Struthio camelus: one gene and its partners. The protein of the gene in region 2 purifies or fractionates together with the protein of the main gene of each other region. This does not show direct contact. Links are inferred from orthologs where the notes say so. Each region holds a gene or a part of one and is shown on either strand. Other genes may lie near its edges. The genes, in order: RBM8A, UPF1, EXOSC2 and MOV10.

Region 1 (7,487 bases), on a different chromosome or scaffold from region 2:
GGCACGCCAAGGTCACGCTGACGACCGTGCGCGACGGTGGCTCAGCCCAAGTTTGCAGCGTTTTTCACAGCAAAGTCAGCCAGCTCCGCCAGAACTAACGTTTGTGCTACCAAACGCTCTGGGGCATTCACCTCCCACCTTCCCCGGATCCACAGGTCTCCAGCCCCGGCCAGGGCTCGTGAACATTGTGACATTTCCACCAGCAGCTCAGCCTCATCCCTGCTCTCCCTTGTCTGCCTCAGCAGGGCAAAGGAGCTGCAGCTGAACCCTTCCTCCCATGCGGCTATCCAGAGAAAACCTCATTCTGGCTTAACACGGTCAAAAAGCACAGACCCTCTTACCTTCTCTTTCCTTTTGGGGGTCCTCTTACAAAACACCAATCCACGCTGATGGGCTGCCCCATTAGCTCCTGGCCGTTCAGCCCCTCCATGGCTGCCTGAGCCTCTTTATAGGTTTCGTACTCAACAAGAGTATATCCCTAAGGGTGGGAGGGAGCAAAAGTAAGTGAGATCCCGGGCAGAGGGGAAGCAGGGAGCCCAGCGAGAGGCTGGACGTTTGAGAAACCCCTCCCTGAGCTTGTCTTGCTGTTCAGGCAGCATTGCGGCACCCGACAGTAGCGCTGGGGAAAAGGAAATTGTGTTCGCGTCCCTATGTGCGGCCGCTGAAGCGGCTGAGATGGTTCAAGGCCAGCCCAACCTGCGCATCCCCTCCTACCTTCAGGTAGCCCGTCCGTCTGTCGAGGTTCAGGTGGATGTTTTTTATCTCGCCGTACTCCGCAAACTTGTCGTGAATGTCCTCTTCAGTGGCCTCCTCGTGAACCCCCGTGACAAACAGAATCCAGCCCTCGACCGCTGCAGCGCACCGGGAAAAGCGGCAATCGTTACACCGAACGCAGGGTGCTCTCCCACCTCTGCGGTGCGAACGTGAGACACCTCAGGAAGGGGCCTCCCACGAGAGCCAGCCCCTGGAGTGGCTGGAAATCCCTGGGCGCGTTGTGGCTAAGCACAACACAGAATGAGCCACACACGGGTGGAAAAGGGAGCTGGCGTCCCAGAGAGCAACCTCTTGGCTTAGCCCAAGACAGAGGCCGGAGAGGCAGGGAAAGGCTCAGCCCCAGCAAGGTCTGAATCCTGATACGCAGCCAAGTAACGGCCCCACGTTTCCCCACCATCTCCCCGAAAACAACACATCGTCTCCCTCCTCTAAAGCGCCCGGAGTCAGGGCTGGGACGGGTGCCTCCTGCAGGTACTCACAGCGCTGTGGGCCTGGCTCATCCCCATCTTGTTCCACGCTGTCGTAATCCTCGCGCACCCTGGCCCTCGAGCCTTCCTCTGGACACGCAACAGAAGGGGAGGAAAGAGAGGTGGGTGACCGCTGCCATCGCTCAGGAGTGCAGTAGGACACAGACAACCTTTAAGGACTCCCCGAGAACGCTGAAACAGCCAGGTTTGAAGCCAGCTCCTCTGTACGGGCAGGACAAGGCCACCGGCCTGCGCACGCAGCCCTGAGAAGTCCTCTCCCTTCTGCGGGAGGGAACAGCAAGGCCAGCCAGATTTGGGTTGTGCTTTGGCAAAGCGATCCTGCTCCCAGCAGACGCTACATTCCTGTACAAAGCTCCTGCTCTGATCCCACTCTCCAAACCGCCCTAAACGGGCTCTGAAACGTCACGACACACAAACCACTGATCCAGTGCACCCAGCAGGAGGGATCTGCCTGCCAGGGACCTCGGCCGAGCGATTCCAGGGTGAGCGTTTAGCTGAAATCGGGAAACCGAGGCCTGAGAGGGGAAGGGGCCGAGAACGCTGGAAAGCAGCGGCCAACGCCAGGGTCCCGCGGGCAGGCGCTGCCCGCCGGAGGGCGGGAAGGAGGGTAGAGCCGTACCGCCGCCGCTCACCTGAGCCGAAGCCTCGGCCTTTCCTCTTCTTGGCCTTCTCCTTCAGCTTGTGGATGCTTTCTGTGAAGGAGAGGGGCGGGAGTGAGGAAAGGCACCCGCGATCGGGTCGGAACCGGGGCGGGGAGGGGGGACCCGGGGCCAGGCTGGTTCTGAGCTCCGGGCTGGGCACTGAGACAGGGGACGGGACCCAAACGGGGCCCCGGGCTGCGCTGGTCCCCAGGTCCGGGCTGGGCATCGGTGAGGCGGGACAGGACCCGATCTGGGGCCCTGCGACAGGCTGGTCCCCGAGTCCGGGCTGGGCACCGACATGGGGGAACGGGACCCGAACCGGGGCCGGTGCGGGGGGACCCGACTGAGAGCAGGGCCCGCAGGGAGGGGGCCTAGGACTGGCCGCGGGGCGGGGGGAGCCCACGGGGGAACCTGGCCCTGAACCAGGACCGGACAGGGGACAGGGCCCCGCCGTTACAGGGCCCCCTGAGCAGGCCCGAGGGAAGGAAACAGCGGCCCGGGAGCCGGCCGGACCGGCCGGTGGCACCAGGCAGGTAGGGACCGCCCTGCCCTCACCGTCGCCATCCTCGTCCATGGCGAAGTCCTCGCCGCCCGCCTCATGTAGGTCCAGCACGTCCGCCATCTTGCCGCTCTCCCCGCCGCCACTGCCGCGCTGCACGCCGGGAAGCGGGGCGGAAGCACTACCCAGCCCTGCCGGGCGCCGCCATGTTAGGGAGGACGCGCGGCGGAAGCGCCCGCGGCGCCATCTTGGTGAGGTCGGCGTTTCTTGCCCGGCCGTGGACGCCATGTCGGGAAGGGAGGGGGGGGGGTTGTCGTGCCCCCCCCCCAGCAGGCCCACGCTGGAGGCCGCTTGCCCCGGGGCAAGGCCCGGGGGTGGCGGGGGCGAGCTCCGACGCTGACCCCGCACCCACCTGCTTAAACCGTTCACGGTTCTTTGCAGGGGCAGGTAACATTTCAGGGAGGCGGGGGGCCGCCTGCTTCTCCCCACCGCCTCGCTGCTCAGTACAACGTGAAGCAAAGTTATTTTTTTGGCCTGGTTTCCCAGGGGAAACGGGGCTTCCACCAGCACGCAGCGCGCACATCCGCGCCTCTGGCCGTCCTCCTGCCGGCGGCTTTCGAGCCCCCGGGGGACCTGGCTCCGGCAGACGAAGCTTGGCCGACCTTTGCGAGGAGGAGAGGCTATCCCCGCAGGTACCGGGGAAGGGCTGCGGCCCGAGCTCAGCCCTCCCGAGACCGACTAGCGCCCAAACTGCAGAAAAGAAAGAAAAAGAGGACAAAGAAGAGCTCCTGCTCTGGGGGCAAACGTGCCCTTTGCTGTGCAGTTCCTACAACCCTGGAAAGGCAGCAGAAGGGCAGAGCTGGTGGGACATGGAGGGGACCCCATGGGTGGAAAGGATGAGGTTTAAAAAAAAAAAAAAAAGAGCCTTAAGAGCCTTAAATTGTCCCAAGCCACCAGCTCCCTCCAGCGGGGAAAGCTAAGGCAAGGCTGGCCGGGGAAGCACCTCTTGTGCAGAGCAAAATCAGCTTCCAACAGCGGAGGCCGCTTCTGTCGCCAGCTGCTAAGGCCAGGCCTGCCTGGCTTCCGCCCCAGAGTAACAGACCATAAACCACTTTCACAAGCAGAAGAAAAAGCTGGAATTAAACGAGGACAAACACCGCTTTAGCGAGAAACAGCACGTCGCCCGTGCGCTTCTGGGGTGGAAACTGCAAACGCTTGTTTGTCCCGGTGTACGAACTGCCGCCTAGGAAAGATGCAAATGACAAGTCAGTGGCAGGATTTGCCGTTTCTGCCTTTCAAAACGGGAGAGAAACCACCACAGCTACCCCAAAAATCTATAGCTTTATTGTATAAAATTATACATACAAAATGCAATGATGTACTGAAAGTTATGACATACATGGAAAAAGGCAGGGACGGCACGTGAAAGGTGATTTATCATTTTAGCTTTGGATTTAACCCTATAGCATGAAGAAGGAAGACAACAAGATTTTGGACACTGAAAAAGCCAGGATGTTAATCCTGCTGCTGCTGCCTCGGGTTAGATTGAAGGCCAGTCCCCCTGCCCCCTCCCTCGGGATTTGGGAAAACAACGTTTCGAGAGTATAAAGTTGTAATTGGAACAAAAGAAAACAGTTTTATACACTTGCTGCTATTTAATATAAAACTGCCCAGACGCCTGCCTAGGCTTAGTGTTGTTCTAACCCCCAAAAGAAGGGGGAAGGCAGTGACACCCACCAACTATGCAGGCTTCGTGTATGGGTACGTTCAGATGACAGAGGCTTAGCTGGTTTCGTTCAGTACGAGGCAGGCTCTGCAGCCACAACTACTTAAAACAAGCTCGATGGCTTCCGCAGGAAAGATGGGACAAGTAGCTGAAGTAAGAAAGCCCAGAAAGCTTTCCTCGTCCCTAGGGCAGGGGCGTTATCACCCTGCAAGTAGATCAGGGGACTAAAAACCAGCCTCGGTTTTGCCAAAACAAAAGTACTGGTGTATCAGGTTTTCATTGTACCTTCCCTTCTGCCAGGACGTCCCATTTTGCAGACTTGGGCCTTGACAGTGGAAACAACATAATCCTCCTAGATTCGTTTAAGAACGGCTGCTGGCAGTAGTAAGGCATCTGAAACAGCTTGTGTACAGTTCAGCGCTGCAGGACAGAGGAGAGTTACGGAGACAAGCTTTGCTAAAACCATTAAGATCCCTACATGCAAAACACTCGTAAGCACTGCAAACAGCAGCTCGTGCAACTTCTGCTACACCAAGAGTCCTAACACGTAGGGCACAGACGCTGCTCGGCAAGAACTCCTCCTCCCCAAGGAAGTCTCCAGGGGGAGTTTGATTGTTAAGGTGCTGCTACGTACGTTTAAGTAAAGGAATTTCTAACTGACAGGGCCTTGTACTGCAAAGGAGAAGGCAGTATTAATTCAAACAGGGTGCCTGAAAGCAATCCTAGATCCAAACTCCCTGCTGCACCCAGCTGTAGTCAGGGAGAAGGGGCTGTACGATGTTTCCTCAACGAGCACCAGGATTCTTACGGCAAGACTGCACCAGCTCTGGCCCACTGATCTTTACAGCTCTAAATGACCTTCTTCAACTTGCAAAATCCAAGTGGGCCATAAGGATTCCAAATTAGCCAAGAACTGGATGTCTCACAACTTCTTCATGCCAGGGGGCTTTTCTATTGGGTCACGTTTTCCATCTCATGCTGCTAGAGAGGCGAGAAGTAACTAGGATAAGATGGCAAACCCCGGTCTGTAATGCAGAGGAAAACACTGATGCAGGTCCAAGCAACTTGAAAGCCTGGAGATGTATGGTTGGGTGCCGATGCTGCTTACACCATCTGCTCAAAAAGTGAAGTTTCTTAAGAGTTTCCATATTTGCAAGAGCAGGCTGTTAGATAAATCACCATTTCACATGACGTACTGTAACACTATACACAGGTGTGGAAGTGCTAATAGGAAGATGTTAGACTCCACACTATTTCTAGAGCGGGTGATTAAATCCAAATACAAGGTCCAGATATTACCAACCTGTAAAACAAACAAACAAACAAAAAAAACCCAAACAAAAAAACTCCACACCATTTACAATCACATTTATAAACGCATTAAACATTAATACTGTTGTGTAAAAAGGCTGCATATAAAAAATATATAAAAACAAAATAGGCTTGTTAGGACAAGAATACAAAACTAGAATGCCTACAGATAACGCACTTTTCTTGATCTTCATTTCAAAACAAGACTATTGCTTGAATATCCACGTGCCTCTACGTTCACAGTAAGAGGCTGCTTCAGAGAAAGGAGAGGGTTGAGGGGTGGTCATCTATGGCAATAGCAAAAGCTACCCGTCAGATTCCCAAAGGCTTTGCACCTCTACCCAAAGTATAGTCATGGGGCGGGGGGAGTATAAGGGGGGAAGGACCAGAGAAAGGTCAAAGCTGAATACTGTGTTGAAGAAAGAAGTCTGTCTTCAATTTATAGTCCCACTGAGACATTGCTGACTCTTCTGGGCTATATATTAGAAAAGTAGGAAGCGATACAAGAATTACCTTGAACAAATCACTACTTTCTCGGACTGTGAATTTGAGCTACAGGAACACAAGTGTCAGGAAGAGTATTTTTAATCTAAACATCATACAGATTTAGTACTGATATGTATACAAAGAGCAGGGAACTATTCATTTAAAAAAATAGTGCATATAGAAGTTCTCAACTCAGCAGTGTTTTGTTCCAACACCACTACTGAAAAGAACGGAGCAAGCTCCAAAGCAGGGAGCCTCCAGCTCCAAGAGAAGCACAGCTCTTACACTCGCTTTCTCTCCCATTCTGCTGTGTGAGGCTACGCTATATAAACGCTACAGGCCAGAGGTGCCAAACCTATAGCCCACACCTTCATTTTATACAATCTAGTGATTCCCTTCCTCCCACACCAAGTTCGCAGTGGGTAACATTAAGGTGTGCTCTGTGTGATCTACTGAAGACACCTGCAGAGCTCCTCAGCCCTCTGCTAAGCAGCAGCTCTCTGATCCACCAGTAATCCTAAGAATTGCCCCTGCCAACTATTTCTTGGGAGCTAGGCTGCGGAGAGCGCTGCGTGCTGTAAATTAAGCACAGTCCCTCTTGGCACAAGGGTAAGACCCCTTTACTCTGGCTGGTAGAAGCAATGCAAAGTTGAGGCCAAGCCCCCCCATTTGCGCTTTTGCTGCTGGGGCTGGGTAGAGCCTGTGTTCTGGTTCAAAGGATTAAATACAGTTCTGGTTAACAAAGACTTGTATATACAAGGCTCTTCAGGGAGAGAGGCTGCACAGCTCCCCCCTGTTATTGCTCGCTAAGTCTGAAACTCTGGCAAGGCTCTTAAAATCTTCCTCGAAAAGGCCAAGTCTGACATTCGGTTTGGAAGTTACCCTGGAGAGAACAGCGTGTCCATCTCTTATTTCTTGCACGACTTTCAAAAACCCTCATCTCCCTGGGTTAGCTGGGGAAGCCAAACAACTCCAAGGCTTGATTTCTAGCTGGGTAAACCGGCCATTTCATACCACCACCAACTGCTAGCGCTTGGGACAGCCCTTTAGCATCTCCATCCTCCTAGACTGGGTGAAACACTGTAAGAACCCAAAGAGGACTGAAAAAGAGCATAGCAGGAGAATTTGTCTGGTGCAGACTAATTAACTGCTAGACCAATCCCTTAAGTATCACAGGGTTTTATAGCTTGCCATTAGGTGTATTGTTTACTTTGGGAATGAACTATGTCTTACCCTACGAGTGAAAGACCAGAGCAGGAACAGATCCAGACACCTGACAGTTGTAGGGGTAACCGTGAATCCTGCCTGAGACTGAACTGGAATTTTGTACACTGATCCCCAGACTTAAGTCTGACTAAACCAAAATCCCAGCTTTAAACCCCTTTTACGTGCTTTGGAGTATTCCCCAATGCAGCTTGCACTGTAGAGTTAAAAAGAATGCTTATTATTACTGTGCTTATCAAGAAGGAGTTTTGATAGAACCCCTCCTGCTACAGAAGCAGAATAAAAAAGCAGGTCTGCACAACATGCATCAGCTCCAAAGAACAGAAGCTTCTTGAAGA
Region 2 (7,992 bases):
GTTAAGACAAGGTGCCTTGTCCATCACAGACTCAGGAGTATGTGACTCCTTCCTACCATCGTAACTAAGTCCTTGCCTAGAAGGGCCAGGAGGTAAGGAAGAAATCAGAATTTATCTTAGAAGTATTAAAATTGAACATATGAGTTGATTTGCCTAAACATGCCATATGTAAACAACAAAAATAACGTTTTCCAAAGAGAAACAGCAGAATTGCTTCTGCACTGTTATCTTCTCACTACCTTTTGTCAGTTGCATACTAATCTATTGCAACAACATCCTCTTAAACTATTAGTTAAATATATGTAGGGGAAGGAAGCCCCTTTAGAGTGGCTAAATCAATCACATTTTCTTAAGAAATTAGGTGCTCTGTCTTTCTCGACTAATCTTTTTAAACACCAGGACACTAAGAAGATATCAGAACATGGAACAGCAGGATAAAATGACACGTCTCCAGTGTTTATCAGCTTTGAATAATGATTATACATTTAATTAGCTTTAGTTATATTACAGTAACAAAAATTAACTGAGAAAAAATGAATGCGATCAATTTTCAGGCCTTTGAAGTTGCATTTTTAGCATCTTCCCTGTCAAAAGACACGACAAGTTTACATATTCAAAGTAACAAAATATTCTCCACAATCTTTAAAAATATATAACTTCTGATCTTATAACAGATGAGACTGTTGAAATGTACAAGCCTAAACAGATAGAGGGATTTGTTTTTTGGCAGTTACTGTCACAATAGGTCCGTTCCCCTCTCCCCAGCATATAACTTCTGGCATCAAGATGAGCATCAGAAAGATTCTGCAAAAAGCACCTTAAGAGTATTCAGTTTGACAAAAAGAAAAAAGGAAAGGAAGAAAAAAATGCACCATTCTTTCCCCTTGGCAGGATGGCTATCGACTTCTTAATACCTGAATGTGCTCTCTATGCTTTTTTTTTTTTTTTTCCCATTTTACTTCAAAGGCTTTTCAAACATGTTTAGACAAAAAAAATCCTCTAGTCTGGTCTTTTAGCATAAGTTTATTTGGGTTTTTTTTTTTTTTGTTCTTCTGGCTTGTAGTTCTCTACCATGAGTTCTGGAAAGATCACAACCGATTAAAGCTTTGAAAATTAAGACGACTTTATTAAAGCTACCTTTTCAACCAATTAATATATATGCTGACTGCATACAGACACACAGATTTTATCAATATTTAATAATTGTGATGCCTGAATTCTCAAATAGGAAAAATGTTTACCTTGCCAAATCTAAATCTGAGTTGTTAATTATTATAAAATAAAACAACAAACAGCCCACGGGGTCACATCTCTAATTCCACCTTTGGGTACAGACATAAGCATGCGAACCTGGAGCAAGTCACACCATAGCAGCTACACCCAGGGTGTACGCTAAGCATCTGAAAACACAAGACAATCAATCAATTCATCCTGGGATACATCTGCTATGGCAGGATAATACCACTTTTAGCCTTGCACCGCACACCTGTAGATCTTCAATACCTGGACAGCTTGACCTGTTTTAAGTTTGCTCACTTGTATATCCACAGCTATATCATTTATGGAACCCCATACATCAGTCAGTATTTGCAAGTAAGAGGAAAAAATCAAAAACCATCCAAACTGTGTTTTGGTTCAGGATTAAGAACTTTTATCTACAGTATTTCAACTCATCTTTAAAGTCATGCTTTAAAACATGGATAATTTATAATCATTTCATCATTAACAATAGAACTACATAAGTGTTTACCTAGATGCAATAAAACTTATCAGTACATTCCACGATCTTCACATGGAGAGCCTAGTTTCACTTTTTTTAAAAATATGGAACAGTTTCTCAGGTTTTTTTGTTACGTACACCGCCAAGGTGTGGCACAGAGACAGACAGCATTCTCATTTAGAACACTTCTTGGCATGCGAGTATATAACCGCAGTTCCCTTTTTGCTTTCACTTCTGTAAGGCCACTACTGTCAAATAACAAACTCATCTACCAACCAACATCAGACTATATAAAAAAATACTCATTTTTAAGCTATCAGGAAACAGACCTCTGAATTGGAGCATAAGGCCATATTGCTTGTTGCTCCCATATCCCATACCAACCCAAAACAAACGAGCTTAGCAACTGTGCAGGAGGAAAGGTGGCAAAGAGTAAGGATAAAAATAATAATTAAAAAAAAAACACGCATCTATTGGTCTCAGTCAGAGAAAGGAATAAATTAAAGGGAGTAACAGTGAATTTCCACAGGTGCAGTATCCAACTTTTGGAAAAGCAAGTACTACCTGTAATTATATTTGTTTTAAAGACGGAAACAAGCCGCGACCACATCCTGAAGCATCTCCGATGTCTTACTTCGGCATCGCACCGAAAAGCGACGCGCCTGTCCCGATCCAACAGAGAGGGCCGCTGGCTTTACCAGCGGAAGAGAGACCGCAAGTTTTTAGCCTCGGCGCCCTCTCCCTCCGTTCCCAGGGAAGGAAGAAAAGCCCACGGGTTTCAGGCCCGTGTGTCCCCCCCCACCCCCCCGGCTGCCGGCTCGGGGAGGGCAGCCAGCGCCGGGCCGCCCGCTCCGCGGCCGGGAGCCTCCTCTGCGCGGGTCAGCATCACGCCGCTTCCACTTTCCCGTCCGGAGCGCCCAGCCCGCTCAGGGCTTCCCCTCGCCGGCCCCACGGCCGGGCCCGCCCGCCCCTTCCGGACCCCCCCCACCTCCCTCCTCCGCTTCCCCGGTGGCGGAGACGCCCTGACCCCCCCCCCCCCGGCCACCAACGCGGTCTCACCTGTGCCTCGATGGGTCCCGGCGGCCCCTGCCCCGCTCCGGGGGGTCCTTGGCCCTGCCCCGGCCCCGCCTGCCCGGGCCCGGGCGGGGTTTGGGTCTGGCTGGGGAGGGTGAAGTCGGTGAACTCGAACTCGGAGCCCTGCGTGTCGGCGCCGAGCAGCTCGGCCTCCTCGGTGTCCAGGAAGGTGAGGGTTTGCGAGCTGGGGCCGTACGCCTCCACGCTCATGGCGGCGGCGGCGGCGTCGAGAAGCGGCGCTTCTCCCCCCCCCCCAAAAAAAAAAACGCGAGCCCGTGCCCGAGGCCGAGCCCGGCCGGGCCTCACCTCAGCGAGCCCGGGCGCCGCGCTACGCGAGCGGCAGGATCCGCCGCGCGCACCAGGCCGCGCGCGCGCGCGCCAGCCGGCCGGCCACCAACGAACCCGCCGCCGGGGCGGCCGAGCCAACGGCGGAGGGGGGGGGGGGGAAAGGAAGGCGGGCGGGGGGGGGGACGCGGCCGAAGGAGGCGGGGGGGAGGGGGAAGCGGGCGGGCCCCGCCACAGAACCGAGCCCCGAGGCGCTGGGAGCGGAACCGTCCGGCCGCCGCCGCCGCCGCTGCTGCCGCCGCCGCCGCCGCGCGCCAGGCCAGGAGCGGTGACGCGCAGCGCACGGAGGGACGACGACGCCAGCACGCCCCGTACGCGTGGGAGGGGTGACGTAGCACGCACACACCTGGGGAGGGCAGGCGAGGGGGCGGGGCTCCGGCGGAAGGCGCGAAGGGGCTCGCGCCGCGCCGCGCGGGGGAGGCGCCGCCAGCCACCTGGCGGGCGGGGGGCGCTGCCCCTTTTCCCCCCGCTCAACTCCTTCCCCCCGCCCGCGGCGGCGCGTAGGGGGCGGGGCTTACTCCTTGACTGACGGCCCTGACAGCCAATGGGCCCTCGAGCTGAGGAGGAAGGGCGGGCTGTATGGGAGGGGGGGCGCTGTGGGAGCCTTTGGCCCCTGTGGCGGCCGTTGGCCCCTGTGGTGGCGGTTGGCGCCTGTGACGGCAAGGGGTTTCGGGGGGGGGGGAGGTGGTTATCGGCCCTTGTGGAGGCGACGGGAGCGGGAGGGGGGGAGCTATGGTGGTGGCCGGCCCCTGTGGTTGCGGGGGGGCTGCGGAGGTGGCCGGCCCCTGTGGAGGCAGCGGCCTCTGTGGTGGTGGGGGAGGGGAGGGGGACTGTGGTGGTGCACGGCCCGTGTAAGGGTAAGCCATGGGGGGGGCTCGTGGTGGTGTTTGCCCCTGTGGAGGCAACGTGGGGTCCTTCACCCCCTCGTCCTCGCCGGGAGCTGCTAGCACCTTTTCTACGGCCTCCTTACCTCATGTCCCCCGTTTGAAATGAGTGCGTTGAGTCACGCAGAGAGCAGGTAGGAGAGTTGTGTGGGGGGGCTTGAGGTCTGTTTTGAGACAGACGTGATGATTAAGAAGGCTCCACTGTTATAATAATATCTGCTCTAGCTGTAATACCTATTATACTCGTAATAGTCATAATTTAACAGTGTAAAAATAGTCAGAAAGCTGAGTTGCCACAGGGTGGGGGTAATGGAGTGGGCCATGGAAATTCCTCCAGGTCGAGGAAGGTGAATGACTGGGCTCTGCAGAGGAGGTGAGTATCACGTGTTGCTACCCATAAATAAAGAGAAAATTTGAGTGCCCTCATTTCAACATCCTTTTATTAGAACAAAGCATCTTTTTTTGAGATAACTTCTGTGTTGTGAAAAACATTGACGCGAAAAGTTAGATATTCAATCCGTTTTCCCTACTAAAGACTTCATTTGACAACTGTAAGATGCAAATATGTACTGCCTTTTTGTAAGTAACTTTAATTTTGTTCTTGCTGTTGGTGTAGGATAAAGCCTGGAACCAAAACAATATGTGGGACCAGATTTGCAGCTGTTAAGCCGAAAAGATGTAGCTGAAGACAGAAGAATATCCTTGTCCTGGGAATATTGTGCACCAAATTGGGGGAAAAAGCAAGTAGAGTTAGTTATCATTTTTCACACACTGACTGTTTGAATTCCTCTTTAGCTTTAAGCCTCTGTGAAGAAGGAGACTACACCAATAGCTTATTATAAAAGTATCCTAATTCAAGATTCAGGTTAAAGTAGATTAATCAAACAAACGACTAAAACCAAAAGGCAGAATGAAAAATTGATTCTGGAATTATGACTGCCGCATTAGCTGCTATTTTGCACAGTGATATCAAGATAAGTCATACATAATTTCACCAGTGTTACAGGACAGTCCGAATGTTTAGGCTCTTTGATTCCTGAAGGTGAAATACAGCTGAATTAAGTACCACCTATAATCTCATTGGAAAGCATTCAGAGGATGAACCAAATTGGTATTTCCATAAAGCAAACTGGAAATTAACTGTTTTGTAGTTTAGGGAAAAGTACAACTGTGAGAAAATAATAAATCCTACTTTAGGATGAAAGCAGAATTGAGGAAGAAATTTATAAAATCAGGTAGGCCGTTTAGTACAGACACTTGTTTATGAATAAACAAAACATACTTCAACTTTTGGCTGGTTTACAGAATCCTCAAAAGTTTTGGACACCGATCAAAGTTTTGATGTGTTGCTAATGGCTGCCTGGATTTTTTCCCCCTGTCCTCTGCATAATACGGAAAATAAGAATGTTTTCAAACAGACTTTAGTTGGAAAACATATAGAAAGTTGCAGGTCCTGCGCTCATAGTGCCATCAGAAGCTGAACTCAGTTTGTGATACGGAAGCACCAGCGACGTAAGCTGTGTCCTCCGACAGAATCGCGCTGCTGTCTAAGGTGCTGAAATTGGAGGGCTGCAAAGAGGTTCTGTGGATCCCCTACCCCCCAGGAGGTTCAGTTTCCCTGTTACACAGGTAAAAAGTAAAACCATAGTGAGTCAGGTGTGGAAAGCCTATAGTTCACTCTGATATGTTTCAACAAGGGCAAGCTAGATTAGACTGGTAATTAGTCGTGGCCGTTAGGCTCCCGGTTGTGTTTGTACCAATATAGAGGCATGACTTCTGGAGAGGCTGCATCTGTATCTCATGGCATAATTGTTTGATCATAGTTTACTGCATGCGAGAAACTCTGTGGACTACTCTGGTGTATTTTGAGGTAAAAAATGTATGCAGGCTGCACTACAAAGCTTCCTGGACAACATTTGTTTCTGTGAGCTGTGTTTTATCTAATGTTCTTGTGAAAGTTTTATCTTTTAAGTATGGGCTCATGTAGCGGGATGGCCACTCTGAGTCATTGGTCTTTACTACTGCGTGCCCAATATGAAATCTAAAAAGGTAACGCTCTGGAAAATGAGAACACAATCTCTGAGAAAATTATGATGTTTTACCATTTTTATACATGGATAGAAGCTAGAATTTGCAGGGCATACTTAGTCATAAAAAGCTGTCCGAGAGAACAGATTTGGATGAATTTAAAGAGGATACTTTTTGCTTGCTTCCATAAGCAAGAAAGTTTAAGTTGTTTATCTTGAAGAGGTGAAAGTAAAGGTTCTTCTTGATTGTAAGTGTTGAAATGATGTGTACTGCAGTTTAGCCATTGATAGAAATAATTCAATCCTGTCTCAGAATAGTTAGCTGTGCCAAAGGATTTTCCTTGAAACTCATTTCAATTCCAAGACACACTCGCATCAGGATTTGCTAACTGCACAAGAGAAGAGTGAAAAAAAACCTGTTATGAAAAAGAATGAACTGATTGGTCTCTGCAAACTCCAAGCCTTGGAGATAGTGTTAGGAGGTGTCATGATGACGGGAAGGGTTCAGAGCCAATCAAACTGGGTGTGAAAAATCTTTGCAGAGCTGCTACTTTAAATGGCAGGGTTGGCTTAAAAAAATCAAGTATTTTTATCCTGGAATAAAACATCCCAGGTTAGGGGACAATACGTATAAAGTACACGTTTGCCTTATCTGATATCTCTCAGGTGGAGATCCCATGTTCTTGATAAAGAATTCATAAGGAACACTCACACACTGCACAGCTGATGGTGATTTCTATACAATAAGTACTGTGATTTTGCAATACATTAACATATTATAGAACTATAAATGTAATCAGTAAATTTATTATGCATATTTAATCACTTTACCTTCTTACCAGTTTTGTCGCTTCACATTTGCATTTTAGCATCTATTTATTTTTTCTTTTTGGTTTCGTATTCATGAAACTCTCATTAGTTTAAAAGTTCTTCTCTCTCTGTTCTTCCTTTTGTTTGCCTCTCTCCTAAAACAAATCTTCAAGTGAAAATCCCTTGGAGTTTTACCTAGCCTGACTGCTAGGAAATGGAAGAGCAGAGGATACTTTAAAAAAAAACAAAAAAGCAAAAACCTATTTCCTTGTCAGAATATACTGAGAAGTTTTCAATATCAAAGAATCTTGAAAGAGAAAATCTTTTAATGAAAAAAGCACCAAAAATGCAGCAACAAAGCAAAAATTTTGGAAGACAGTAAACTAGCCATTCCATTGCAGATGTTACACTTCTGCTCAGTCACCACAAGAGGGACATAGAAGGAAAGCTAACATAGCGTTGGAAAAGATTCATAGCAACATATATTTCCTTTTGTTTGGAAAGGTCTTCTGGGATCATAACATTTTGATAGCTTCCTTCATCCCAAATAATCTCTAGAAAGCTTCCTGGACTTTAGAAAATGTGATAATAAGTATTAATAGCTAAAATGGATCTTTTCCCAGAACTTCATAATCTTTTCTGACCTTTTTCCTGCTGGAATGTCTGTAGTAGTGTTGGGATAGGGAGTGTTTGGGCTGCCTGTATTTTTGTTCCATCTCTAGCTATTGGACCAACAAATATTGGAGCATTTAATAGGCACTGGACAAGAAGATTGTGGAGCTATTTTTGTTTACTTGTATTTGATTTTCATGAACTAATGGCTGACGATGCAAATATAATGACAGAACTCATATAAATGCCTTCATGAAATAAGAGGACCATAAAAAAACCCTAAGTAGATGTTGAAAGGTTTATTGGACTCTTGTGGAATTAGAAAGCACAATCCTAATATGCACTAGATCGAAGGTAACGCAGCATGCACATTTAAGCACATGCAGTCTATGAATCCCTAACGTCGGTAAAGCTTTACTTCCAGCCATGATAAAACAAAGGCATCACTAGTTGGGCGTTCTGCTTTGTTTGAGCCAATGATATATTAAGAAGAGTTCTGGGAGAAAGGGTTGCTTTGAGT
Region 3 (7,769 bases), on a different chromosome or scaffold from region 2:
AAAGGCTTTCCCTGACCCTGCTGATGCGTTTGAGCTGTTGCAGGAGCCTGCGCTTGGGTGCAGGCAGCGTCGCCCGCCTCGCCCCGCGTCTCCCGCAGCCGCCGAGCTCTCCTCCGCCCGCCCTGGGCTCACCCAGCCCTTTGCTGATGCAGCCGCGCTTCCACCCGAATGCAGGCACAACCTAGCTAAAACGATCCCTAGCAGGGTCGGGTGGGAGATGCTGCCCACGTCCTACAGCAAGCGGGTGCCAACTGCTCCTTTCGGGGCTGAAACGCTCCGCCGAGGCACCGAGTCGGGTTTCTGGGTCGTGGCTCCCTGCGTCGGTCTCTGTTGCTGCCGTCTCTCACTTGTCCCTCGCGGGGCTGCGTATTCCTCCGTGTCTCTGTGCGCACTGCCACGTCCTCGTCTCTCCAAGCAGCAGGGACCTCTCGGTCCTTTGCTCCGGTGACCCCGGCTCTGCCTGCGCGGTCTGTAGCTGCCCCTCCACCAGCCGCAGCGTTTGCCACCCAGGACGGGGGTGACCGAGGGGCAGGTTTGTGCCGGTGGTTTGCCTGTGTCATTGCCTTCAGGGCTCAGGGGGTGCTCGGGCACCTCTGGCAGGTCCCAGACACCAACAGACCTTGCGGGAGGCGAGGTGCGGTGAGCGTGGGTGCAAAGGGACGGGGCAAGGGTGCGTGGGGAGCCGTTCGCCGTCCCGCTGACGCTCCCATCTCTGTATCCCTCTCTCTAGATGATTCCTCCGGACCAAGAGCTGCTGGTCTGGTACGGAAACTCCCACAACACCTTCCTGGGCATCCCAGGCGTGCCGGGGCTGGAAGAGGAGCAGAAGAAGAACAAGCACGGTAGGTAACATCAGAAATGGCCACGGGTGCAGCTTCTGTGCCCATCCTCTGCCCCCGGCTCCCTTCGTCCCCGGGAGCAGGGGTGGGCATGGGGCAGGGACATCCCAGGGGACGCACGAGACCCTCCGGCTCCGTAGGGACGAACGCAGGGACCATCCAGCAGCAGAGCCCAGCCCCTGCGAAGGATCCATAAAGATTGGGCAGGTGCCTAGTAATTTGAGGGGCTCCGTGTGAACCGATTAGCCCAGGGCAACTAGTGGTCCGGTGGCCAGCAGCCCGCTGCCCCAGCCCGTGGGGAGCATATCTGTGCGGCAGGGACGGTTTCGGGGAGAGGAGCAGGGCAGGCGTGCAAACAGGAAGGAAGGAGCCCCAAGGCACCGGGAAACGCCAGGCGGACAAAGTCACCGATTTCCCTGCTCGGCACTCAACGCCGCAACCCCTTTTTCCCCCGAATCGCCCCGGCAGGAGGCCTTTCTCTCCCCGGGACCCTCTGGCTGGGGCGGCTCCCCGACGTGCCCCTGGGCGGGCGGGCGCAGAGCTCCCAGGGCGCTGCGGGGGACGCTGCTTTCGGAGCCGGGCCCCCTCCGCCCGCGGCCCTCCTCCCCGCTCGGCGCGAGCCCTGGCCAGAGCCCGGCAGAGCAGGGCAGAGAGCCGGGGGCGAAGCGGGCGCCAGCTCTCCCGGGGCGGGAGAAGAAAGAGTCTTTGGGAGCTGAGCAGCCCCGACTGCGGCTCCCGCGCTCGTCTGCCCCGGCTCTGCACGGAGAGGGAGGCGAACGGCGCCGCGGGCGCCCCTTCCGTGCGAGACAGGGGTCAGGCTGAGCAATCCCCTTCCCCAAATTTAAGGAGATCGTTCCCAGCTCTGGCCACATCCCAAAGCGGTAAATATCAGCCTGGAGTCGCGGGCGGGGGTCTCCGTTCATGGGGCCGCTGTGGCCGTCCCCAGCGGGCAGGTGGAGCGAGGGAGGAGGCGCGGGGTGGTTATTTCGGGCTCGGGAAGGGAGTGAACAGCCGGGGCGGAGGGCAGCACCTGACGGTCCCCGTCCGGCGCTCTGTCGTCCCCAGAGGACTTCCACGCGGTGGAGGCGGGCGCCAGCACGACGGGGCGCATGCGCTGCGTGATCTGCCACCGCGGCTTCAACTCCCGCAGCAACCTGCGCTCCCACATGCGCATCCACACCCTGGACAAGCCCTTCGTGTGCCGCTTCTGCAACCGCCGCTTCAGCCAGTCCTCCACCCTCCGCAACCACGTCCGCTTGCACACCGGCGAGCGCCCCTACAAGTGCCAGGTTTGCCAAAGTGCCTACTCCCAGCTCGCCGGGCTCCGGGCCCACCAGAAAAGCGCCCGCCACCGGCCCCCCAACGCCTCGCTGCAGGCCCACTCGCCAGCCCTGCCCGTGCCCCATCCCGCCTCCCTGGCCCACCACATCCCCACCATGGTGCTGTGAGCCGCCGGCGCAGCGGCGGGTTTGCGGACAGCCGGTGGCAAGGGGCCAAGCCCGGCGCTGAGACGCGCGGTGCGATGGGGGGTGTCGACCCTTGGCGGAGCTGGGGGGCAGAGGCAGGGCTGCTTTGGGTGCCGAACGGGCGCATTGGTTTATTTTTGGAGCAGCGCCGTCCGCGCAGGGTTTGGGGGGGCCGTTCGGTGAGCGAGAGATCCCCCCACCCGGCTCTGCAGGGTGCAGCCGCACCGGGCTTGGTGCTCCCCAGGGAGCAGGGCAGCGGGATGTCCCTTGTCCCTGGGAGCGGGCGAAGGGATCGTGCCTCCGAGGGGCAGAAAACAGCAGGATGTCTCCTGTGGATTGGCCAGTGCACTGGGGGAGGGCTGGGGCGGCCCAAAAGCTGAGCTGGGGTGAGTCACACCTGGGTTTCACAGTTGACTTGACAGAAAGAAAAATTGCTCTTATCCCTTCTCCTCCCTTGCTCCAGCGAGTGCCCAGCAGCGCCGCGTCCCCCCCTTTAGCGGCTGGCACAGCTCCATACAGGCCATTGCGTTGGTGCCCGTCTACCCCCGGGGGGGCAGCTGTGCCCCGGGGGGCTCTTCCCAAGGGAGAGATGGCCAAGCCCCAGCGCGGCCTCCGCGGGAGCCCTCCTTTAGCAGTCGGTCGCCTTGTCCCCGCCAGCCGCGCTCGGCCTCCTCGCCTGCCGCCCGCGCGCCGGGCGTCCCCGACGCCTCTGGACGGCGGCGTTGGAGGCAGAGGCCGTGGGGACATCCCCGGCTGGACGTGCCAGCTGGGAATGCCCCATCCGCGGGCAGGTCTTGGGGGGTCTCTCTGCGCTCTGCCAGGCTGTGCCTGCTCCAGCCCGGGGACCATCGCTCCCTGCAGCCTTTCGGGAACATTTAAATTTACTTCTACCGCCCTCTGGGGACAGAGAAAGCCCGTCCCTGGGCCAGCTCTGTCCCCAAGGACAACTCTAAGCGCCCTCTGGAGTCCTGCCACAAGCGAGAGCAGGGCTTTGTATCATAAAGTTTAAAAGAAGGTATTCTAATATTAATTATAAGTCTAAGATGTATAAAGTTCTCACAAACTGTGTTTTACTTCCAGAAAAGAAAACAATTGTCACTTTAACTTTGTAAATATTTATGTAAAACATTATTTACAAAACTTTGATATTATATATTATTTGATCGTATATGTACACAGTGTAAATACGTTTGTACCTCTCTCTTGTATTCTAAATAAAAATAACTTGGAACATTTATCATTTAGAAGACGGATGGTTTGGGGAGCTTTGTTTTGCTCTGTGGTCAGGGCGCGTGACGGTTTGGACGCGTACAAGGCGAATAAGGGGGCGTAGTTTCATCTACTAGAGCAAGCAGTGCTGCTGGGGAAGAGGAAAGAGAGCTTTGGGATGCAGAAACCCTTTTGCAGGTCTGCAAGAGAAGCGGCAACTTCAGCCTAAATCCAGACGGATGGCACTATTTGGTCCAGTATCTTCTCGTTTTATTTGAAGCAACAACTGTTGATGTCTTCCCTGAAATAATGGCCATGTTTCCTCTGTGCCGGGCTACAGATATAAGTCTTGCTCGAAAGAATAACGTTTGATCTTGGCCCAGAGGAAGAGACGCAGTCCTAAAGGTCATCACGGGCTTCTTTTCCCTTGGTATTTTCCCAGCAGCTCCGAGGGTCTAACCAATGAAGTGAATAAAACTTCCACGCAAGCAGGTGATTGACCGTTGCCGCAGCTTTGCCAAACTCCTCACCCCTCCAGGCCAGCCCGGGGGGGCTGGAGGAGCCCTTGTCGCCTGGTGGAAGATCACCGGGCCCGAGGGCGACTTCGGCAATGAGAGGCGCCGACTGTTTGGTTTTCTTTTTTAAAAATCTATGAGATGTGATTTTTTTTTTTTGGAGTAATGTTATGCAACCCTCCCCTGTCGCACGTACAACCCGGCAGCGAGATGGGGGCAACTCAGCCCCTCAGCAGGGCCCTTCGGCTCGGGGGGCCGGGGCCGCCGGCGGGAGGAGAGGTCTGCGGCCACCCCAGCTGGGGGCTGGCGGCCCCACGCTCAGCCCTTGACCCCACAGCTCTCCCCGAGGACAGCTCCTGCTGCGGGGTGGGGGCGCCCGGCTGCGGGGCAGCCTTCCCCGCTCAGCCCCACAGCCTGCCCCTTAAGGTGGAGGAGGCGGGCAGCCACCTTTCCCGCACCAAACATGGCCCCCCTTCTCTCCCTTTGGATCCCAACGCGGTGAAGCCCACGCCGTCTTTTTCTGCCAGCAACCAAAATGGCCGCCCAACACGAAGCCGCTACTGCCGCCGACGGCCGCCCGCGGCCCTCAGCCAAGATGGCGGCGCCCTGGCCTCACGCGCGCTCTTGCCAGCAACCAGCATGGCGGGCGGAAGGCGCGTGTGGGAAGCGGGCGCCGGCGCGGCGCGGCGTTGCCCGCAGCCAACATGGCGGCGATAGCGATGCGGCTGCCGGTGGCCCGCAAGGCGGTGAGGCAGAGCGCGGCGCGGGGCGGCGAGAAGCACCTGGTGGCGCCGGGGGACATCATCACCACGGACACGGGCTACATGAGGTGGGGGCAGCCGGCCGGGCCGGGCGGGGGCTGTCGGCCCCGCTCGCTGAGGGCAGCGGCGCTCCGGGGGCTCTGGCGGCTGACTCCCCCCCGGCTGAGGGCCGCTCTCTCCGCAGGGGCCACGGCACCTACGTGGGCGAGGAGAAGCTCATCGCCTCGGTGGCCGGAGCCGTGGAGAGGGTGAACAAGCTGGTGTACGTCAAAGCGCTGAAGACCAGGTGCGAGCGGCCGGCGGGCCTCGTCGCGCGCGTGGCCCCCAAGGCGCCGCCAAGACAGGATTGCCCTAACGCGCGCTCTCTTGCTCCCAGGTACAACGGTGAAGTTGGCGACATCGTGGTGGGGAGGATCACTGAGGTAAAGCTCACAGAGGGTCCCGGCTGCTCTTCCCCGTTAGTGACTCCGGTTTTTCCTGACGCGCTGTTAAGTGGGAATTAAGTCTTGGCTCATATTTGAAGGGCAAGAGTGCTGCTGATGAGGAGGACGGTCCACCAGACTGAGGTATCTCTGTCTGTTCCAGAGCGTTTCTGAGGCTCCTAAAAGCACATTAGTATTTGTGCTTTTCAGCACTTGCCATCGTGCATTAGGACAACTAAGTGCTTTGCAGGGTTGGAGTTGGCGCGTCTGAGCTCTTCCCGTCTGCGGGATGCTGGAAAAGACTAAGAACTGAGGAGAAAATACATGGTTTTAATTACGGACCATTAACCAATTAAATGTTAATATTATTAACATTTGGGATTTTAAAAAAGATGAGGCTAAAAGTAGGCTACAGTGCTGTCTCAGCTCTCGCCTCTCTCTGTGTCAGTGCTTGTACAGTGTGAGCTCGCTGATACGAGCACCCATCGTGGGATGGGCCGTTCAGTTCAATCACCGTGCGTGGCTTGTTGGTCTGCAGCTTGCCTCGTGCTGGGCTGCTGGCTTGAGTGGCAGCAGGACCTCCCTCTCTGGTGAAGAGCTTTTGTTCATTTTGTGAGCATATATCAACAGAGTTTTTTCTTTTGCAGGTTCAGCAGAAACGATGGAAAGTGGAAACCAACTCCAGGCTAGATTCAGTCTTGTTGCTGTCATCTATGAATTTACCTGGTGGGGAACTGGTGAGTGCAATTGATGTAGAGCAGTGCCAGAGCCTCTCTTGTTCTGCTTTTACAGCAGAAGCTGAGGGCTGTGCACCGAGAAGCTGGGAGGCTCTGGAGCCCTTCCCACGGTTAGCACAGGGGTAGTATTGGTGTTTCTGCCTGTAGGTGCATCGGTAGTGCTCTGGTATCTTTATTTAACTCTTAGTGTTATTTGGACAGTGACCTAAATACCAGAACCTCGTTTTTCTTTGCTGCCAAGATTGTGTTTTGCGTGCCATCCTAAGGAGGTGGTCCCCTCGGTGTGGGAATCACTTGACGTTTTTCCATCCTGGGCCACGTGTAATTTTTCTCCCATTCTGCTTTTCAGAGAAGGAGATCTGCAGAAGATGAGCTTGCAATGAGGGACTATTTGCAGGAAGGAGACCTCATCAGCGTATCCTTCCACTGCTTGCATTCAGGCAGAAGACCCAAGGGGCATGGGTGAGAATGGCTAGACCTTAGCTAGCCAGACTGATAATGAGAGTTCTCTGCCTTTGGGCAGTGAGCAGCCAACTCCTGTTGGCACTGAGTAGCATTAGGGAGCTTGTTTCCTTAAGTGGCATTGACAGGCAGAAGTCCAGTCTGTATTTTCTGATGGGGCTGTGTCACTGCACACCCGAAGTCTGAAATACGGGAAGGTAAGTTGCTCAAAAGCACTTAGTTTTGGCTTAATTCTGCTCCAGTTGACTTGTAAGGGAGTGTCTACGCTGCTGCTGAGTATGGTTTAGACTTCCAAACCTGCAATGGATTGGAGCTTGAAGCAGATCAGAGCTCTTTCTGGGATGTCATCTCCCTGCTGCAAGAAATGGGATGTGAGAAGGGCAGGGAGGAGAGAGAAGGTCCCTTTGGAGAGTGCTCTGATGAAGGATAATACGTAGCCCGTCAGACAGTTCCTCCTAGGTTGGTGGTCCTGCGGCTGAAGGCCAGGCCCTTCCTAAATACAGCACAACTCCACCCAAGTCAGTAGAATTTCTTTGGCTTTATATCAGAGTAGCAGCAGGATTAGGCCTTTTGTGAGAGGTTGCTCTGTGTGTGTGTGTTTGTGTGTGTGTGTGTGTGTGTGTGTTTTGTTTTGTTTTTTTTAAGAGAAAAAGCTCTGGGGTAAAGCAGGGTGTTGTTAGAACCCATCCCTACAAGTTAGGAAGGATCGTAGCCCCCACATGGGAAAACAGATTGGAGTTCCCCAGTGCAAAGGGAATACCCTTGAGCTGCCCTTTGAACCACAGCCCTCCTTGTCCACAACTACAGGCTGCGAGTCCTGTTTCCCCCACTAACCCTTTGGGAATTGAACCCTGAGGAGAAAAAACTTCTGGCTCAAACTTGCTAACTCCTCTTCTGCAGGCCATTGCCTTTATAACTTGTTTCTCTCCCCAGGGCTCTATTTTAGGCTTTATGCAGTTGGCATTTATCTCTGGTTTTGCGCATTGTAATAAGCCAAGGGGCCGTTGGAGCGTAGGCTGCAGTTTGGGATTACCGGACCAAAGGTATTAGCGCTTAAAAGATGAAAGCGAAATGTGCTTATTGCACAAAGGGTGAAGGACAGCTATTGGATTAAAAGGGAAAGCGTTCTGCTAAATTGGGCCTCTCACTCTTCATTTTTCTGCAGGGATGGTTGATGTGTAGTTACGATCAAGATATTATTAACATTTGTGCTAAGAACTCAGAGTATTCTTCATCTTCAAAGGGCTGCACAGACATTAGCTAATTCTCCCAGCACTCCCAGATGCAGGCAGGTTTTATAGTCGCTGTTTCACAGGAAGGGGTGTTAAAGCTGGCTGGTTCATAGACCAAGAATGGAG
Region 4 (7,216 bases), on a different chromosome or scaffold from region 2:
GGGTGCTGCAAAACTGTGGCCCAAGCAGCTGCGGGCTCTGCCCCAGCCGGGCTGTACCTCTCGGGGGGGGTCCCGTCCTCGGTGACGACCGTGACCGGCCGCCGGAGGCTGGCCTGGTAGGGCTCGTAGGGTGCCGAGGGCCCCAGCTCCTTGGCCAGCTGGGTCTCGGCGGTGGCGGAGAGGAAGCGCCCGATGCTGAAGGGCTCATCCGGCTCCTTGGTGAACTCGAACACCAGGGTGACGAGGAAGCAGCCGTTGAACGCGGTCAGGCACCGCACCTGGATGGGGTACGTGCTGCCTGCAACGCAAAGAGGTGGGAGCGGAGGGGCCTGCACCCTGCGCCTCCTCCCGGGCCGCGGCCGCCGCCGCGCAGGAGCGCGTCGAGCGGGCGGACGAGGGCTACCGCCCCTTACCCGGGTGCAGCACCAGGGGCTGGCCTTGCGTCGCGCCGTGCTCGTCCGAGAAGGAGAACTCCTGCTGCGGCCGGAGGGGCCGGCACCGCAGCAGCGTCACGGGCTCCTCCCCGCCGTTCTGCACCCGGACGGCGGCCGTCCAGGGCTCGCCGAGAGGCACGTGGAAGCGGATGTGCCCGTCCCCCTGGTCGTGCTCCGAGACGATCTCTATCCCGTGCTTCCCAAGGATGAACTCGGCCCTGCGGGTGGGGGGGATCAGCCTCTCCGCGGCGCGGAGCGGGCGCCGGAGCCCGCCGGGTCCAGCCCGGCGCAGCTCCCTCCTGGCCACCGCTCGGGGAGGCGCGGGCGGCCCCGGGACCCGCGGGGCGCCAGGTTCGTACCGCTCCTTGGCACGGCCCTTGGGGGCACGTGGGCCAGAGCCGGGCTGCTGGCCGGCAGCCGATGCTGACGGCTCTGCGTCCGCTCGGGGTCTCCGGTACTGGTCCGCCACCACCACTCTCCTCTTCTCCTGCAAGGAGCAGCCGCATCAGCGCGGCCGCGGGAGCAGGGCCCTCGGCACGTGTCCGCGCTCCCGCGGGAACCGCCGCGCTGCCGGGCCCACGGCCTCCCTTACCTCCTTGAAGTGCACAGATGTCCTGTGCACCTGGGCACGGTGGTTCACCTTCAGGGCGTACAAGATGCTGGAGAAACTGGGCATCTTTGTGTCAGTCCTGCACGGTAAGAGGGAGAGAGCGTTTCGGCGCAGGGGAAGAGCAGCGAGGGGCGAAGTCGGGGCGGCACAGGCTGCGCGAGGGTGCTCCAACCAGTCCCCTCCACTCTGCGGGAGGGAAAAGGACGGGGGCTTTTGCACTGGTCCCGCTCAAAACTTGCACCCCCTCAGGCTGCTATGGCTCACAAGCTTTTCCACCACGTTTGGCTTGAGTTTTGTGGGATTGCCTGTCTAGCAAACCTCATGCTACCTAGAGGCTTGTGGGTCCCTTTGCAAACAGGGCTTGCCACGGGCAAGCAGGGGTCGGGCTGGAAGGGCACAAAGCCCCAGGCAACTCCACGGTACAACTGCGAACAGCTGGGGTGGGTGCTGCAGGGCCCCGGCCTGGCAGCGTAGGCGTTTCTGGATGCCATAGGTGAAGCTGAGGCCCCGGGCAGGCTGCTCGGATGCCGTTCCAGCTGTGCTGCCGCCGTCCAGCTGTGCTGTGCCTGTTCCAGCTGTGTCACGGCCCTTCCAGCTGTGCCGTGGCTGTCCCAGCTATCCCGCAGAGTCCCTGCCTGGCCCCACTGGGGCGTGCAGCCTCTGCACTTGCCTGTGTACAGGTGGCAGCGGGGCAGGGACGTGGCACTGTCCCCAGACCCTGGAGGTACAAGGATGTCCTGGAGGGGCAGGGACGACTCAGCGGGGTCCGGGCCCAGGGCTGAGCCTGCGCAGGGGGCATCCGGCAGAGAAACTGCTTTGGCTGCTCCTGGCCAAGCCCACGCTCCGAGGCGCCCGCCGCAGATCGACAGTGTCTCTAAGGCACTGACTTGCCACTTCCTGACCCTGGCAGGAGAGCTGCCTCCCCATGACATTTCCTCCGGGCCGCAGAGCACATCCCTATGACCTTCTGGCTGTTTGCACCCAGACTTGGCCAATGATTAACAGCAGTGACATTGCACAGGGCCCTGCTCTGGGCCAGCGTGGCCGGTGCCGGCGGGGGGAGCCTAGGCAGCGGGTGCCGGCGGCTGTGCCCCCGCGGCTGCCGGGGCGCTGGCTGGGGAGCCCTGCCCGGGATTCCTGTGGCCGAGGACGGTCCCAACGGAGCCGCAGCAAGGCACGGGGGCTTGGATGGCACGCAGGGCCCGTGTTCGGAGGGGACTGCTCTGATGCTCCCTGCATCTGCAGCCCAGCAGGAGACAGGTAGCCCCACTGGCATCACGCTGTTTTCCCATGCCCAGAGAGTGTAAAGCTACTGGGTTTTGAGTTTAACAAGTCCAGTTGGTTCCTTGCTGCTCAGGGAGCACATGCTGCTCCATCCCACCCAGACAGTGACCAAGGAGAGTCTCCGCAAGCCCAGCTTGCTCCCCTGGGGGTATCCTCAGGCCCAGAGAGCCAGCCCCACGCCTGAGATCCTGGCCCCGGCGATGCTGGCTGCGGACGGGGCAATGCTGGCCGGGGGAGCTGGGTGATGCTGGCTGGGAACTCAGCGATGCTGCTGGGGGGAGGCAGAGGATGCTGGCAGGGGACTGGGCGACTCTGCTGAGGGGGGGAACAGAAGATGCCGGCTGGAAAAGGGGCATCGCTGCTGGGGAGAGGCAGGTGAGGCTGGCTGGGGACTGGGCAGCGCTGGTCGGGGACGGGGCGATGCTGCTGGGGCCGCCCCGGGGGGACCGGCCCGGGGCTCTCACCTGGCCCGAAACTCCTGGGTGTAGATGCTCCGCAGCGTGTCGCGCTGGCTCTCCTGCTCCCGGCCCGTGTCCCGCAGGAACCGCACGAACTGCTCCCCGCAGCGCCTCGCCTCCGCCACGCTGCACCGCGGCATGGCCGGGCCGGGCTGGGCTGAGCCGGGCCGGGCCGGGCTGGACTCCGCTGGGCCGGGCCGGGCCGGGTCGGGCTGCGCTGCGCTGGGCTGAGCCGGGCGGCTCGGCGGGGAGAAACGAAAGCGAAAGGGGCCGTGCGCCCGGCGAGCCGCCCGCCCCGGCGGGGCTGGGCTGAGCCGGCCCCGCGCCCCGGCTCCGGGGGCTCCGCCGAGCCCTGCAGCCCGCGCCCCGCCCCGGGCATCGCCCCCCGCTCCGGGGGCTCCCCGCGCCCGGCAGCCCGGCCCCCCCCGCTCCGGGGGCTCCCCGCGCCCGGCAGCCCGGCCCCCCCCCCGCTCTGGGGGCTCCCCACGCCCGGTCCCCCCCCGCTCCGGGGGCTCCCCACGCCCAGCAGCCCGGTCCCCCCCCGCTCTGGGGGCTCCCCACGCCCGGTCCCCCCCGCTCCGGGGGCTCCCCGCGCCCGGCAGCCCGGTCCCCCCCCGCTCTGGGGGCTCCCCACGCCCGGTCCGCCCCGCTCCGGGGGCTCCCCACTCCCAGCAGCCCAGTCCCCCCCCGCTCCAGGGGTTCCCCACGCCCAGCAGCCCGGTGCCCCCCGCTCCAGGGGTTCCCCACGCCCGGCAGCCCGGTCCCCCCCCGCTCCAGGGGTTCCCCACGCCCAGCAGCCCGGTCCCCCCCCGCTCTGGGGGCTCCCCACGCCCGGTCCCCCCCACTCCGGGGGCTCCCCACGCCCAGCAGCCCAGTCCCCCCCCGCTCCAGGGGTTCCCCACGCCCAGCAGCCCGGTCCCCCCCGCTCCAGGGGTTCCCCACGCCCAGCAGCCCGGTCCCCCCCCGCTCCAGGGGCTCCCCATGCCCGGTCCCCCCTGCTCCGGGGGTTCCCCACGCCCAGCAGCCCGGTCCCCCCCGCTCCAGGGGTTCCCCACGCCCAGACCCCCCCGCTCCAGGGGTTCCCCACGCCCAGCAGCCCGGTCCCCCCCGCTCCGGGGGCTCCCCACGCCCAGACCCCCCTGCTCCGGGGGTTCCCCATGCCTGGCAGCCCGGTCCCATCGCTCTGGGGGCTCCCTGCTCCCAGGCCAGCCACGGGTCCCCTGTTCCGGAGCGTGAACAGAGGAATCCAGCTGGGAGATTCACCTCTGACGTGAACTGCCCCGGCAGCACGCAGAGGGGGCTGGGGCAGGCTGGCATGCCCCAGGGAGCTGGGCTACCTGCAGGGGTTCACATCCTCCCTGCTCTTGGGGCTACTCAAAAAGTAATAGACGCAGGCCCAAGCTGAGAAGTGTTTGCAGGGACCTGGGAAAGCAGAGCTGCCAAGTGTCAAAGTCTAGGTTATTTGGTCAGCTTGGGCCTAGAGCCGTGGCACTAATTGTCCCTAGGGAGGGCAACTAGGCACTGCAAGCTCAAAGCAGCTGCTGAGGCTTCTTACTGGCTGGAGACATGGTGCCCAGGTGCATTGCATTGCTGTAGCCAATAATGAGGGATAAGAGCTCCCAGAGCACCACGCTGCTGCCCTATAAATAGGGCAGCAGTGGCAAAAGCTGCTTTCTATGTTTGGCTCTGCCCTGATTTCCTGTGCTTTAAATCTCCAGCCTGCTCAGTGTGGATGGTGGTCTCTGACCTGCTTCTGTGAAGTGGCTGAAGGCCCTGGGATTGCCTGCAGTGCTACTTAATGGGTTGATTTTTGGCTTGCCTGTAGCTGAAGGATGTTGAGGTAAGTTTGTTATTTTTACTGCTTTAGTTCCAGTGGGCTTTTCCTCTGACTGAAGCACTACTGCTGTCCTGCTGCTGTCTGGAAGAGGCTCAGCAGGCTGTGGTGGTGTGTGACCCCCTTGCAGGTGGTGTGAGGGCTCTAAGCTGCTTCTGAAACCACTGCCTGTACCCTGGGCAAGGGTGTGCTATGAGTTTGAGTGCTGAGACTCAAATAACCTGCATGTGACTTCCTCTGCATGAGTTGCTTTTTTTTCTGAAAGATGGTGTTTGTAGTTAAACCTGATTTTCAGCCTTGTATGTGCAAGCTAGAAAAGCAGCAATAAACTCCAAGGCCCTTTTGCTCCTTCATCAGCTCTCGGAGTGCTTTACAAAAGAAGTCAGGATCACTATCCTATCTAGGGGCTGTAGAAAATGGGGCATAGGTAGGAAAATAACATGGGCATCTGAGTCCTGTTCTAGTGTTCTGTGTACTTATTTAAAAACTCTGTGTTTTGCAGCCTCTGGAGTTTACAAAATCACTTTCTCCTCTGTATATGTCACACATTACAGGTGGAGTCTTGGAACTTTAAGCTTTGCTCTTGCAAGCAGATAGAGGAGCTCTTATCATTGCAGTCAACTGGGTAGCCCAGTGGATGTCCTTGGGGCCAGCAGGGATCCTTTCCCCAGGACTGGGATGGGAAAGCTATGTTTCACTCAGCTTCCTTGAGTCAGTCAAATTACCATGCCTTTGCACTGTAACAGAACTGGGTTCATGCTGCCTGTTTAAAAAAGGCATTGGCTTTGGTACACCTTGGCAAGACCAGCCCAGAACATATATTGTTCTCTAGCTGGCTTTACTCCTATGTAAAACTTCTGATTTCAAGCAGAGAATAGCTGAAGATTCTAAAGATTAAAATGCCTTAGGTATGTGTCACCGCTTGCACTTGTGTAATGTCTTTGTGTAATGTGGCAGTAACTGGGCTGTGTCAAGTTTTGTTTCTCCAAGGAAGAAATAGGAGCTGGGGAGGAGCTAGGATCAGCTAGATCACCGGAGCTAGGATCAGCTAGATCACCGGAGCTAGGATCAGCTAGATCACCGGAGCTAGGATCAGCTAGATCACCGGAGCTAGGATCAGCTAGATCACCGGAGCCTTTGCTGTAGCAAAGGACAATACAGGAGAAAGGTGAGGAGGTAACAGGGAATGAGTTGGCCCTAAAGAATGATTAGCTAAAGATTCAGAGAAAGGAGAAGAGAGAGAGACTGTCTTAAGGTTGGAACAAGTGGTGGGAACTATGTGCAGTGCAACTAACTTGGAGCAAGGAAAGACTAGCCTTGTGGCTTAGGCAGTGCTGGAAGATAACACTGTGTGCGCACAACAGAGCTTTTATCTTGGGCCCTGCTTCAGTCTCACATTCCTGGAATTGCTGCAATGCTTGTCTGGATGGGACTGTAGCCACATAGACTACAGCTGCTTAGGTGCTCATGTTCATAGTGTTTCATTTCTTCTAGGAATAGCAGGGAGGAAATACTTTTTACAAACATCCAGTGGCAGAAGCACTAGCCTGAGTAGCGCTCTTAGCACAGCAGTGTGCAAAACTGACCAGAACAGGACAAGTCTTGCTTTGTCCAATGCCCCTGACATAGGATGTATCCAGCAGTTACTTTTTTACTCAAGTTGTTAAACGCTATGAAGCTATGTAGGTGCTATAATGAGATATACATGATTAGTGAAGTAACCTTGTCTGCTGTGTTTTCCCAGGGTCAAGCGTGTCATGATTGGAGCCACGTGACTATTTTTACTTTTAACTTAAGTGTAACTTTGCAAGCAGTACCATTCCAACTTTCAGGCTGCTTATGATATCACCTGCAGTTCTACCGTGATCAGGAATCTACAGAAGTGAGACCAAAAAGGACAGACACAAATGGCTTTAAAACAAAGACTGGTGTATTTCTACTAGACTATTTGATACAGAGGATGCCTGTAGGATGAACGGTCAGTCTTAACAGCAAATACAAACATTCGGACAAAATTTCTCAGAACACTGACACGCTTATATTGTGGTATTACTGTGCAAAACCTAAAGTGTAATGCACAAGCAGCCCCACCCCTATCTTTCCAATCCCCCTTCCTTGTGTATGTAAAAATAGGAAGACACCACCCAATTTAAAAAGCAACCTGCAAAAAGGCCAAGTGAGAAACAAATGTAAACAAAGCAAAGTGAATTAACCACAGGGGCTTCATCTTACAGTGAATTCACGTTTTGAGTTCTGACTGAGAAAGTATCCACGTGCCCCTCCAACCTCCTGTTAAAAGTAGCAGTCTGAAGCAGTTTCTCTTGCTTTTACAGACAAACAAAGCAACAGAGCAAGCTTTTAGAGAGCAGTGAAGAGATTAAGCCCAGCATCCCCATTAAGTGTAAGAAGAAACTGGCCACAATAGAGACAAAATGGAAAGGTTTTTTCTCTTGCTTTGGTGCAAGTTTATTTATCATTTTGTACACTATTCATTCATACACCTGTGATACAAATTCTAGGAACCTGCCACAAAGCATTAAAGCACAACATACCTATTTTTCTGTAGACATTTGCATTTTTAATCTCCATCCAGACT

Evidence for each region.
Region 1: the proteins of UPF1 (region 2) and RBM8A purify together in Homo sapiens (co-immunoprecipitation; 7 studies listed by BioGRID and IntAct, with this or other methods). This does not show direct contact. The link is inferred for Struthio camelus from reciprocal best matches to the Homo sapiens genes UPF1 and RBM8A.
Region 3: the proteins of UPF1 (region 2) and EXOSC2 purify together in Homo sapiens (affinity purification with western blotting; 3 studies listed by BioGRID and IntAct, with this or other methods). This does not show direct contact. The link is inferred for Struthio camelus from reciprocal best matches to the Homo sapiens genes UPF1 and EXOSC2.
Region 4: the proteins of UPF1 (region 2) and MOV10 purify together in Homo sapiens (affinity purification with mass spectrometry; 3 studies listed by BioGRID and IntAct, with this or other methods). This does not show direct contact. The link is inferred for Struthio camelus from reciprocal best matches to the Homo sapiens genes UPF1 and MOV10.

What each region holds. Positions count from the first base shown.
Region 1 is NC_090971.1:3,081,880-3,089,366, forward strand, and holds the start of RBM8A (RNA-binding protein 8A), read right to left. Parts: upstream 3,071-7,487; 5' UTR 2,691-3,070; coding exon 2,459-2,690; intron 1,955-2,458; coding exon 1,895-1,954; intron 1,332-1,894; coding exon 1,254-1,331; intron 852-1,253; coding exon 715-851; intron 479-714; coding exon 342-478; intron 1-341.
Region 2 is NC_090967.1:6,071,071-6,079,062, reverse strand, and holds the start of UPF1 (regulator of nonsense transcripts 1), read right to left. Parts: upstream 3,147-7,992; 5' UTR 3,005-3,146; coding exon 2,780-3,004; intron 1-2,779. UniProt on the Homo sapiens protein: RNA-dependent helicase required for nonsense-mediated decay (NMD) of aberrant mRNAs containing premature stop codons and modulates the expression level of normal mRNAs.
Region 3 is NC_090961.1:6,313,702-6,321,470, reverse strand, and holds the start of EXOSC2 (exosome complex component RRP4), read left to right. Parts: upstream 1-4,671; 5' UTR 4,672-4,733; coding exon 4,734-4,858; intron 4,859-4,974; coding exon 4,975-5,076; intron 5,077-5,166; coding exon 5,167-5,212; intron 5,213-5,859; coding exon 5,860-5,949; intron 5,950-6,298; coding exon 6,299-6,364; intron 6,365-6,539; coding exon 6,540-6,608; intron 6,609-7,769. Other genes in the region: PRDM12 (PR domain zinc finger protein 12), read left to right, coding at 731-842, 1,905-2,287. UniProt on the Homo sapiens protein: Non-catalytic component of the RNA exosome complex which has 3'->5' exoribonuclease activity and participates in a multitude of cellular RNA processing and degradation events.
Region 4 is NC_090965.1:9,496,685-9,503,900, reverse strand, and holds the start of MOV10 (helicase MOV-10), read right to left. Parts: upstream 3,025-7,216; 5' UTR 2,927-3,024; coding exon 2,793-2,926; intron 2,305-2,792; exon of another isoform or gene 2,072-2,304; intron 1,124-2,071; coding exon 1,027-1,123; intron 922-1,026; coding exon 794-921; intron 653-793; coding exon 414-652; intron 299-413; coding exon 58-298; intron 1-57.